Linked DNA regions of Ovis aries. The protein of the gene in region 2 interacts with the protein of the main gene of each other region in a pairwise test. Links are inferred from orthologs where the notes say so. Each region holds a gene or a part of one and is shown on either strand. Other genes may lie near its edges.

Region 1 (3,651 bases), on a different chromosome or scaffold from region 2:
AATTCTCAACTGGTGAAGCTCTTTAGCTACTACCACACTCCCTCTGGTATAGAAGGAAATGGCAACATACTCCTGTCTCGCCTGGAGAATCCCATGAACAGAGGAGCCCAACAGGCTACAGTCCAGGGGATTGCAAAAAGCTGGACACGACCGAGCAAGTAACACACACCCGCCCCCCTCACCCCTGTCCGCCCTCTCACGTATCCCAGAAAGCAAGAGCTGGAATAAACCATGATCCAACACCTCTGTACACCAGTTTAGCTCCAACAATCATCTACATCTAGTTTAACTCCATTTAGTTATTTACTGGAAGGAAAGTCACAGTGCATTAGTGGAGAGTTTGGCTAAGTCTATAGCCACTTAGTTCAACGTTTCCTTTGACTTGTCAGCATGCAAGGTAACTCAGGGTCTTAATTCTCCCAACTAATAATGATTCTTGTTCCCAATCACTGTTTGATAAGCTTCAATTACTTTGTTTTATTTAAGTGTGATGGAGCCTTGTGAGTTTCCTGTCCTTTGGAAATTTTTAGCACTTCAAAGCTCAATTAACTCCTACTCCATGTTCTACTAATGCATTAGAAAAGGTTGCATGATACTCTGGAATTGAAGCCAGAGCTGGGTTCAAACCCTGATTTGGCCAATACAAGGTATGTTCCTGAAGCAATTAACCTAACTTTTCTGAGTACAGATCCCTCATCTGTAAAATGAAAGTCGGTATCACTTGCTCTTAAGGGTTGTTGTAAGAATCAGAGACTACATGTGAATCAGAGACTACATGTGAAGGTCACACAGTAGGCATGTACTAAGTACTTCTGATCTCCTTGGTATAGTAACAGAGTCTTACATCAACTTTACAGAATAGGGCCAGTGCCCTTACCTGGCTCTCTCCTTTCTTGTATTCCAGAGAAGAATCCAGCAGCACAATGCGAGGGTTCTTGATATAGCGTCGCATTCGTGGATGGGTCACATCCTTGTTGATCATGACTCCACGTAAAACACATGAGTCTTCAATGATGCCCCCAGGTATCTGAGCAAAAGAATTACTTTAATCCACAACCAGGAGACACTTCTCAACTTCCTTTTCAGACATTCATCTTTCCCAAATAACCACCATTTCAGACTTCTAAATTTTCCACAAACCTCAAAAACAACTAGCTGCAAATCACCTTTCTCTCTCTCTGGGAAGCACATCAATCTTAGACCATGACACACAATTTGAAGGTTGGCTGAAACAAGTTCAGTGCTTCACAAAGATTTAAAGGGGCACATATCACTACCTCTTCAAAGAGATTTCCACGAATTTTAGGTATAGGGCTCCCTCTACTGGTCAGAAGTTATTAATGCTACTTTTAAATCTTAGATGGAGAAAGCTTTATTAGTGCTATGGTGTGGGGCCCTTATCTCCTGACCTAGTGTCTGATATGCACACAAATACAGACCAAAAAAAAAAAAAAAAAAGCCTTTCCCTTGCCCCTGTAAACCGTGGGTAGAGACAGCAGTGAAGCTAACAGAATTATTTCAGATACCTCTTTAGCACCCTCTTTTTCAAGATTTTTGTTTTCCAGATAGTAAATACTCTTCTTCCTGGTTCTAATAATAAAGGTGTGATGCTAGGAAATAATTTGATTCCAAAGTACACACTTGGAGAGTTTACCTTTTCTACCCTTGCGTATTTCTTGATGTCAATCTCTTTCCGGCCATTCTCCTCAAACTGTACAGTTTTGACAGCATCCAGGGCAATGTTGCAAGCCAAAGAAGACCACCGACTGATTACTTTGGTAGTGATGGAGCTGTTGATGATGTTCAGCATCGTATCTCGGTTACTGGTGTCGACAGGGATACTGGAGAAAAGAAAAATGGGTAATATGGTTAGGGGGATCTTGGATATTTAAGAAATCCCTCATCTACATCTTGACGGCTGTAACAGGGGGCCAACAGGCAGAAGGGGAAATTTGTTCCTTCATAGGAACTAAAGTGTTATCAAGAAGTAACCTTGTCCATCTTCTGCTTTTTAGAAAGCTTACAATTAACCCATCCCTGGAAGGTGTCTCAAATCCCTGAAAAATCTGCTCCCTTCTCTGACAACTCTCCACATTTACCTGAGCTTACAGTACAATATTCTCTTTACTTTCTACTCCAACCATATACACTCTATATAACTTTAACAACTTGAGTCAAGACACACCTCATCTTTGAAACTTCATCCCTTAACTAAAAAATCCTGAAAGTTAATAGACCTTGGATACCATCTTGTCCAAATTTTCACATACTGCTGAAATCTCTTTTATTAACAGTGTAAGACACATAATAAGCAATCATTAAATAGTTGTTGAATCATGTATTTTAGAGAAAAAAGCAATAGCTCCAAAAGTTATTGCTTGATAAAAAGAAAAATGTTAATGATTCAGCTCCGAATATTCAATAAATCCTTTGTATCTCTATGTTCTTACAAAGCTTACTTCATAAAACTACCTTCAATCAAACACCTCATTCTCTAAGACTGCTAGTTATCAAGGACTTTGGCTCTTAATAGCAGGCAGTACAATACAAAGCTCTCCACACTGCTGGGTACTTGCGTATCCAACAACCCAAGATATGAGTATTACAGGTTTTATTTTTTAAACAACTGTTTTAATAAAAAAAGTTTTGCATTTTGTATCATTTTCTCATTTAACTGACATTCCCTTAAGTAGAAGTCACACATTTTTATATTCTTTTTATTATACCTTATAGCACTCAGCAAACACAGACCAACAGCAAGTTCTGTGATAACTAGACTGGATTCAAACAGCATTTTCAGTACCATCCTTTTCATTTTAATGAATACAGCTGACTATTATCCTACATAACACTTTGTATTACAGAGAGTACTGACTGGAACAGTTATAATCATACACGATGGTAGGATATTTTAATATCAAATCCTCAATAATCAGTTATCTAACTCCTTGTTTCTCCTACTACAATCGAAAACTTTGGAGTGAAGCTCTACTTCACTTACTCTACATTCCCCAAGGCAGTGTCTAACATGGAAACCAGCACACTGCATGTAACCAAAACATGTTTTAAAGAACTGAACCTAGCTCCTTTGGATCCTTGGCTGTTTTCTAAAACCTTTTATTCCCCTTATCCTTCCCTTCATCTTGCTCCCGTCTTTCTCCCTGCAAAATAAGACAAACTACTGGTGATGTGCCCGGCCTTCCTTTACCACCTAAGAGCAGATCAGTCTTCCAGGCCTTCCCTGGTTGACACCACCCGCTTCTGGTCCCCACCTCCAATACCTTATTTTCTTAAGGGTGCTGATCATATCATCCAATGCCTTGCGGTAAGCACTGATCACCACTGTTGGGTGCATCTGCTGCTCCAGGAAGTGCTCAGCCACAGACAGCATCTCCCCAGCTGAGAAAAGACATATATACCATAACATCTTAAAAAGTTACCTGGATAGCAAAGCTTCTAAAATACCTGCTCTTCTTTTCTAAAGCAGGTCTGCCCCAAAGGTATGCCAACACTGTTTCAAATTTTGTACTCTACACAAGCCAACTCTGAAATAAAGTATTATCAGATACATTTTAAATGACTAAAGATTGATCCTACGGTTTACTTAATTCTGTGATCTAACCACATATGTTATCAGTTTCTTAAACAGTA
Region 2 (3,651 bases):
CTGAATAAAAATGCAAAGATTATTTAAAATAAATATCATGCACTGTGAAAGCTGTATTGAATTCTTCAGAGGAACAACACAAGAAAATGAATTTCACTGTACTGGATTCTATGTACCTAGAGGTCTCAAACTGCAAGATCATAGATTTCAGCTCAGGCAGGATTACTTTGATGCTAAATGAATAAAGTTGGTAACTTGCCCATCTCTTCCCTTTGCTAATAACTTCATGTATTACCTATGAAATGATTTTTATCGTATGGCCTCCATGAACTCATGAAGATCAATTACTAAGTTAAAGAAAGTTAAAAACAAACAAAAATAAAAGTTGTTTGCCCTAAACAGTAACCACAATTTCCAAGTAAATGACTTTTTGACCCCAAATTTAAATATGACAGGTAGTCTAAAAAAGTTCATTTGGCTCAATCCACTTTTGTCTGAAACTAATAATAACATGAATAACATATTCCTTAGTTGCCAAAACAAAGTGCTTTTGCCTTGTTTTGTTTCATACTTTTGAAATAATACAAGATCATTTTACTTACTTCTGAATTTTATCATTGGCCGTTCGGGAGGCCTCTACAGCACGCTGAAGCTCTAATTCCATGTTTGCTCGATCTGTCAGAGCTTGCTGCAGTTGGGTAGCCAGTTCCTCATTTTGTTGTTGAGTGATGGAAACAATGTTCTCTCTATTTTTTAAAGCTTCTTCATAGGTACTAAGTGTAAGATTAAACTGATCCTTCAAATTTTCTTCTTGGGATAAAGATTTGTGTAAACTGAGAAAATATAAAAATAAAAAAATTTAAACATAAATATGTAGGCTTACAAACCAATAATCTATTAAACAAAAATCTCCAGTTAGAAAGATCCATTTCTAAAAATCAATAAAGGCATACTTAAATGGATAAATGAAAGTAATTTTTATATCACAATATTATACTTGATAATTATCCATTTCTCTGCTTCTAAGCTGAAAGCTACCCAGACAAATGATTATCTTTGCTACCAAAGCATACAAAAAGATGCTGTAAGATGTTAATTTAATTATATCAGTGTAAATATTACATTCAATTTTCTTTAAAAGGAATAGCAAAGAATTGGAAAATAAAGTATCTCTAGGTAAATAAAAGAATGTAATAAGCTGACTGCAAAGAAGTGAGAAGTAAGAGAATGGGCATCAGTTTAGTAGATCCAGGGTCTAATTCAGCTGAACACTTAATGAGAATGAATGAGGTTTGTACAAATACTGAGAAGCCTTATACACAGCATTTTCTACTTGTCACAGTTGAGATATGAATGAGGTTAAAATTACTAGTCAGACCGCACAGAAATAATATGTATTCAGATATATTTTCTTTTTGTTAATGAATCTTACTCCAAATACACCCACTCATTAAGTCATACAGAGAAACAGCATATAAATTAAGACCAAATGAATGCAGAAGAAAATGCAGACAAATAGAATCCTAAAATGCTAAAGGTCAAATCTTTGATATGTCATTACACCTACCACCTGAGGTTATTTTGAAATGGCACCAAGCACCTCACTCAATTAAATAAAGACATTTTGAAAATATAAATATTTAATAAGGGGAAATTTAAAATCCACACAGGAGATGTTCTTTTTTTATTAAATAAAATCATTTCAGTATATGCATACAAAAGAAATGTCGATGGGAGACTCGAAGTAAAACAACCCAACTATATAATACAGATTGATAATGTTGAAAGAAAGTAATCTAATCCTTAAAGCTGCAGAAAGCTTGTCAGGGAACTTTAACTCTGGCCGAATATCTAGCCTAGTACTTTATCTAAAACTTTTCAAACTAAAGTAATTATAAATTTCTTCTTGCTTTAGCAACCTATACACCTCTCCAAGGTGTTCACTTTGGAGAAGGTGTCACAAGGAAATAAGATGGACCTGAAGCAGGGACCGTTAGCACACCAAAAGAAATCATTCCAGAATTCAACTTAATCTGGAAGAGAGAATGCTGCTACACTGTGGTCAAGTGACTGATTATTATGTATGAAATAAACATGGTGTATGGTGCCAGATTGGCGGAGTGCAAAGAAAGTATCTTCCTTTGTGCTTTTTCACCTCCTTATTTATGTATCTAACTCTTATTTCATTCTTCTTTCTACCAATCTATATACTTAAAGACTTCTGTCTCTTGCTCATTTTCCTATTCTTTCTCTGTCCTCTCATACCATCTACATTCTTCCAACTTCCAATTTCTTTCAATCCACTCTTTTTGTTTACTTGAAAGACCCAAGAAAGAAACTAAAAACAAAACAAAACCTCTAAAAAGTCTATGTTCTTTACTTTTAAATGTCATTCAGAAAACGAACATCATGGCATCCGGTCCCATCACTTCATAGGAAATAGACAGGGAAAGTGTCAGACTTTATTTTTGGGGTCTTCAAAATCACTGCAGATGGTGACTGCAGCCATGAAATTAAAAGACACTTACTCCTTGGAAGGAAAGTTATGAGCAACCTAGACAGTATATTCCAAAGCAGAGACATTACTTCGCCGACTAAGGTCCGTCTAGTCAAGGCTATGGTTTTCCAGTGGTCATGGATGGATGTGAGAGTTGGACTGTGAAGAAGGCTGAGCGCCGAAGGATTAATGCTTTTGAACTGTGGTGTTGGAGAAGACTCTTGAGAGTCCCTTGGACTGTAAGGAGATCCAACCAGTCCATTCTGAAGGAGATCAACCCTAGGATTTCTCTGGAAGGAATGATGCTAAAGCTGAAACTCCAGTACTTTGGCCACCTCATGCGAAGAGTTGACTCACTGGAAAAGACTCTGATGCTGGGAGGGATTGGAGGCAGGAGGAGAAGGGGAGGACAGAGGATGAGATGGCTGGATGGCATCACGGACTCCGATGTACGCGAGTCTGAGTGAACTCCGGGAGTTGGTGATGGACAGGGAGGCCTGGCGTGCTGCCTTTCATGGGGTCACAAAGAGTCGGACACGACTGAGAGACTGAACTGAACTGAACTGAAAGAACAAAATACAGAACAAATACAGAAGACTCCAGTCCTTACAGTTGATCCCCTTCCCAAAGGTAATCACTAATTCAACCTCTATCAAGATTAATATTGCTTGTTTTTGAACTTTTTGTTTGACGTATTTTACCTAACATAAAGCTTATGAGATCCATCCTGCTGTTGCATGTAGTTCTCCCCCCCCTTTTTTTTCTATTAAGTATTCTGTTACATAAATATACAGTAACTTATTTCACCACTCCAAGGTTGCTGCCATGAATAAATTCTCATATGTATCTTTCGATGGACCTACGCACTTGCTTCTTTTTTGCTTGGTTTTTGTTTCCAGGTTTACTGAGATATAAGTGACGTGAGCACTCATACCTGAAACAGAATTTCTCCTTAGGATATATGCATGTCCAGATTTAGCAGATCCTGCAAAGTTTCCCAAAGTGGTCACACCGATGTACACTCCCATCACAAGGGAGTTCGAGTGGCTCTACGTGCAGCCTTAGAGTGGGATTGCCAGTTCTTTAAACGGTGGCCATTTTAATAGGGGTACAGTGATATTTCATTCTCTTAATGTTGTCTTTTGATGAATACAAGTTCTTAATGCTAATGAAATCCAGTTTATTATTATTCCATTTATGGCAGTGCTTTCTTG
Region 3 (3,751 bases), on a different chromosome or scaffold from region 2:
AGAGGGCCATACATTCTCATGAGGAATAAACCTCTTCTAATTGGGTGTCTACGTCCCAATCCTGGAAGACTCACCGTCACCCCGTATTTGAGTGCTAGTCCAGCCAGGGTGTCTCCGGGCGCCAACTGATGCTCCAGGCGTCTTTCCCTCACCGGGGAGCAGGCAGACTGCACCAGGCTTCCATAAGAACGAGCCCGGCTCCCTTGAAGCAGTCCTGACCCCCCGAGGGGGGCCTGTCTAGAGGGAGAAGCCATCTCCTCACCCTGCGGACACTGAGGTTACAACCCCGGGAGGCCCGGCCAAGTGACCGATAATGACGGGCTCGCGGTCCGAGAATGGGTATCTTAGAGGATTCCTCTCTTTCAGTCTTCTCTCTTAAGTCTCCCCGCCTCCCCCGGCGATACGCGACTTGTCAGCCGTAGCTTCTCCTCCCTGCAAGTCCCCTTCCCACAAATCTGTACTCCGACTATTCAGTCCCTACCTGAGTCTTTCCTTAGCACCCCTCCGACTTTCGACTCCCCACAACAACTCGCTACGTTGACCCCTGACCTTTGAACTCTAGCAGCCTCCTTAACACGCAGCTCAATTTGCCCCTACGTCTGGCAGCCCGACCTCCAGGCTCCCCAATACCCCGACTCCGCCCGGTCCCGGGGTTAGCCCTCTAGGGTCAGGAACAGATCAGGCCCACCCTATATGGGCTGTGGTTGCAGGCGAAGGGCGTGACAATAGCCAGAGTCTGTAGCACTCTTTCTCCGTCAGAGATCCTCAAAGGTATTCTCCAAACCAAATCAGTCACACCCTCAAATTCGGGCTCCTCATCTAGGTTCTTGTCATTCCAAACGCCTCGAATCTGCCAAGACGAAAGGGCCTGGATCCAGCCCGGCGGCAAGCTCTTTGAAAAAAGACTTCATTTCCCAAAAGGCCCCGCGCCGGTGAGGTCGCAGGGCACCATAAGAAATACAGTCCCCCTCGGCCGGCTAGAAGCTGGCTTCCGGGATCGCGCAGTGCATTCGTGGAAGCACACCCCCGGAAGTCAGGGGGCCAGCAGGAAAGAGACCGGAAGGAACGGAGACGACCCACTCCTGCTACGGTGGCCTGAAAGGCGTGGCGAAGGCGGCTGGATAGAGTTTTTGATTTCTGGGGCTCACAGTCTTGATGTCTTTCAAGAGGGAAGGAGACGATTGGAGTCAGCTCAATGTGCTCAAAGTATGCGGAGAGGAGTGCTTCCGAAGCAGCTTCACCTGCCCTCTGAAAGCTGTAAAGGAGCTGTTTTGTTGCTGTGGCAACAACTGGGGGGCGGAGTGGAGGGAACCAAAAGACTAGAGGTGGTGGTGACCCCTTTTTCACCGCAGATGTGTGTTCTCCCATGGTCTTTATTCCCTTTCAGTCCTCGTCTCTATCATTTCCCTTTTATCCTTCCCTCATATCCAGCTGATCCCGTGCGGACTTCTTCCCCTGTCTCCTGCAGAAACGAAGGGTCGGGGACCTGCTTGCCAGCTACATCCCAGAGGATGAGGCGCTGATGCTACGGGATGGACGGTGAGAGCGAGGAGTGGATCAAGTTTAAGGGTTTTGAAGTTAGAGACTCAAGAACTTTTGTTATTAAGGAGGAGAGCGGGAGTATCTAGGATTCTTTGGCTGGGAGTGAGTAACAGGGATGTGGGTGATGGAGACTGGGAGACTTGGGAGTTGGGCTTTGGAAATGAATGCTTGGACGGGGTGGGACCTATGACCAAGACTCCACTCCCCAGGGACCAATTATCTTTCTTACTCCCCAGCTTTGCTTGTGCCATCTGTCCCCACCGACCCGTCCTGGACACTCTGGCCATGCTGACTGCCCACCGTGCAGGCAAAAAACATCTGTCCAGTAAGTTTGGGAAAAGACAGACAATAGAGTAAACCCTTAAAATCTCTTCAGACCACCCTTGGTGCTCTGCTTTTAATCCTCTTCCCCTTTCTCCTCAGGCCTGCAGCTTTTCTATGGCAAGAAGCCAGCAGGAAAGGGCACAGAGCAGAATCCAAGACAGCATAATGAACTCAGGAGAGAAGAGACCACAGCAGAGGTAATCAGAGAGGGGAAGTTGTGTTCCAGGCAGGACTGTGCTGCACACCTTAGGCTAAAGGACTTTGGCTTATTTCTGGCTCTGAAGGCTCTGACTCTGCTGTCTCCATGCCAGGCTCCTCTCTTAACCCAGACTCGACTTATCACTCAGAGTGCTCTGCACAGAGCTCCTCACTATAACAGTTGCTGCCGCCGGAAGTACAGGTTAGTGGGATGGGAAAGCCAGAGGTAGGGAGGGACAAGAGATAGATAGCTCTAAAGTGATTATTTTCCTAATTGTAATCTGAGACATACTAAGTGTTCTGGGGGTGTTAACTTGTATTTCAGGAAAAAGATTTTTGTAACTAAAAAAGTGCTTTGTAATCCTATTTGATTAAAAATTAGTGTATTTTAAGGGTTCTACAAAATCATAAGATAAAAAAAAAACCTTAAAAGATTTAGACTTTCCTAAATTTACTGGATTCCAGAATTCTTTTTATGCAGAACACTTACTAATATCTTGAGGAACACAAAATTGGGAAGCACTCCTATAAGGAGTTGGGAGTCACAGGAGATTAGGCCCTTTCCTTTACTGCTTTTACAGACTTCGATTCTTCTCTGTCCAGACCGGAAGCCCCTCGTCCCTCTGTCTCTCGTCCCCCTTTGCCACCCGCAGAGGCTGAACCCCAAGGTGGGAAGATCAGTAGAGAACCTGAGCCTGAGGCTGGCTCACAGACCAAGGAGTCAGCCACTGTCTCATCCCCCGCACCTATGAGCCCCACAAGAAGACGGGCCCTGGATCATTACCTCACCCTTCGAAGGTGAGTATGCAGAATTTTTCCTCAGTTTTTCCCTTTTATCTCTGACCCTCCTTGTTTCAGAGCTTCTCAAGTGTTTTTACTTATCCCCCGGGGCTTCCCAGGTGGCACAGTGGTAAAGAAGACATCTGCCAATGCAGGAGATGCAGGTTCGATTTCTGGATCAGGAAGATCCCCTGGAGGAGGGCATGGCAACCCACTCCAGTATTCTTACCTGGAGAATCCTGGCGGGCTACATTCCATAGGGTCACAGAGTCAGTTCCTCTTGAAGCAACTTAGCACACGTGCATGCATGCACAAAGACTCCTTACATATGTAACTTTTTTTTCAAATAGTTCAGGAAATTAACTACAGTTAGATAGAAAGAACTATTGGGGCTTCCCAGGAGGCTCAGCAGTAAAGAATCCTATAGTGCACAAGAGGCAGGTTCGACCCGAGTTGGGAAGATTCCCAACTGGAGAAGGAAATGGCAACCCATTCCAGTATTCTTGCCTGGGAAATCCCATGGACAGAGGAGCCTGGCAGGCTACAGTCCATGGGGTCACAGAGTTGGACATGACAGAGCACTCGCACACATGCTTTTCTTAATTTAATAAACTTCCTTTCCTGACCAGTTCTATTTTCTGGTGTTTCCAGCTCTGGATGGATCCCAGATGGACGAGGTCGATGGGTAAAAGATGAAAATGTTGAGTTTGACTCTGATGAGGAGGAACCCCCTGATCTCCCCTTGGACTGACATCCTCGTTCCCCATTCATTTCACAAATAAACTACAGCCGGCGCTGGGAGCCCAGCTTCTCCTGAGTCTGGTTCCTTGTTTCAGGATTTCAGATCTGTTCATTCTCAGCCCAGCCAATTCTTCTCTGCAAGGTACACAGCTCCCCACACTTCTGA

Evidence for each region.
Region 1: the proteins of MIPOL1 (region 2) and CCT3 interact in binary tests that used the Homo sapiens proteins (3 or more experiments, as listed by UniProt). The two-hybrid records come from large-scale screens. The link is inferred for Ovis aries from reciprocal best matches to the Homo sapiens genes MIPOL1 and CCT3.
Region 3: the proteins of MIPOL1 (region 2) and SCNM1 interact in binary tests that used the Homo sapiens proteins (3 or more experiments, as listed by UniProt). The two-hybrid records come from large-scale screens. The link is inferred for Ovis aries from reciprocal best matches to the Homo sapiens genes MIPOL1 and SCNM1.

The regions. Positions count from the first base shown.
Region 1 is NC_056054.1:106,308,963-106,312,613, forward strand, and holds part of CCT3 (T-complex protein 1 subunit gamma), read right to left. Parts: intron 3,400-3,651; coding exon 3,282-3,399; intron 1,842-3,281; coding exon 1,655-1,841; intron 1,028-1,654; coding exon 878-1,027; intron 1-877. UniProt on the Homo sapiens protein: Component of the chaperonin-containing T-complex (TRiC), a molecular chaperone complex that assists the folding of actin, tubulin and other proteins upon ATP hydrolysis.
Region 2 is NC_056071.1:45,410,013-45,413,663, reverse strand, and holds part of MIPOL1 (mirror-image polydactyly gene 1 protein), read right to left. Parts: intron 774-3,651; coding exon 543-773; intron 1-542.
Region 3 is NC_056054.1:101,064,075-101,067,825, forward strand, and holds SCNM1 (sodium channel modifier 1), read left to right. Parts: upstream 1-1,035; 5' UTR 1,036-1,155; coding exon 1,156-1,257; intron 1,258-1,431; exon of another isoform or gene 1,432-1,468; coding exon 1,469-1,539; intron 1,540-1,778; coding exon 1,779-1,867; intron 1,868-1,965; coding exon 1,966-2,063; intron 2,064-2,177; coding exon 2,178-2,266; intron 2,267-2,667; coding exon 2,668-2,862; intron 2,863-3,495; coding exon 3,496-3,595; 3' UTR 3,596-3,650; downstream 3,651-3,751. Other genes in the region: LYSMD1 (lysM and putative peptidoglycan-binding domain-containing protein 1), read right to left, coding at 75-254. UniProt on the Homo sapiens protein: As a component of the minor spliceosome, involved in the splicing of U12-type introns in pre-mRNAs. Plays a role in the regulation of primary cilia length and Hedgehog signaling.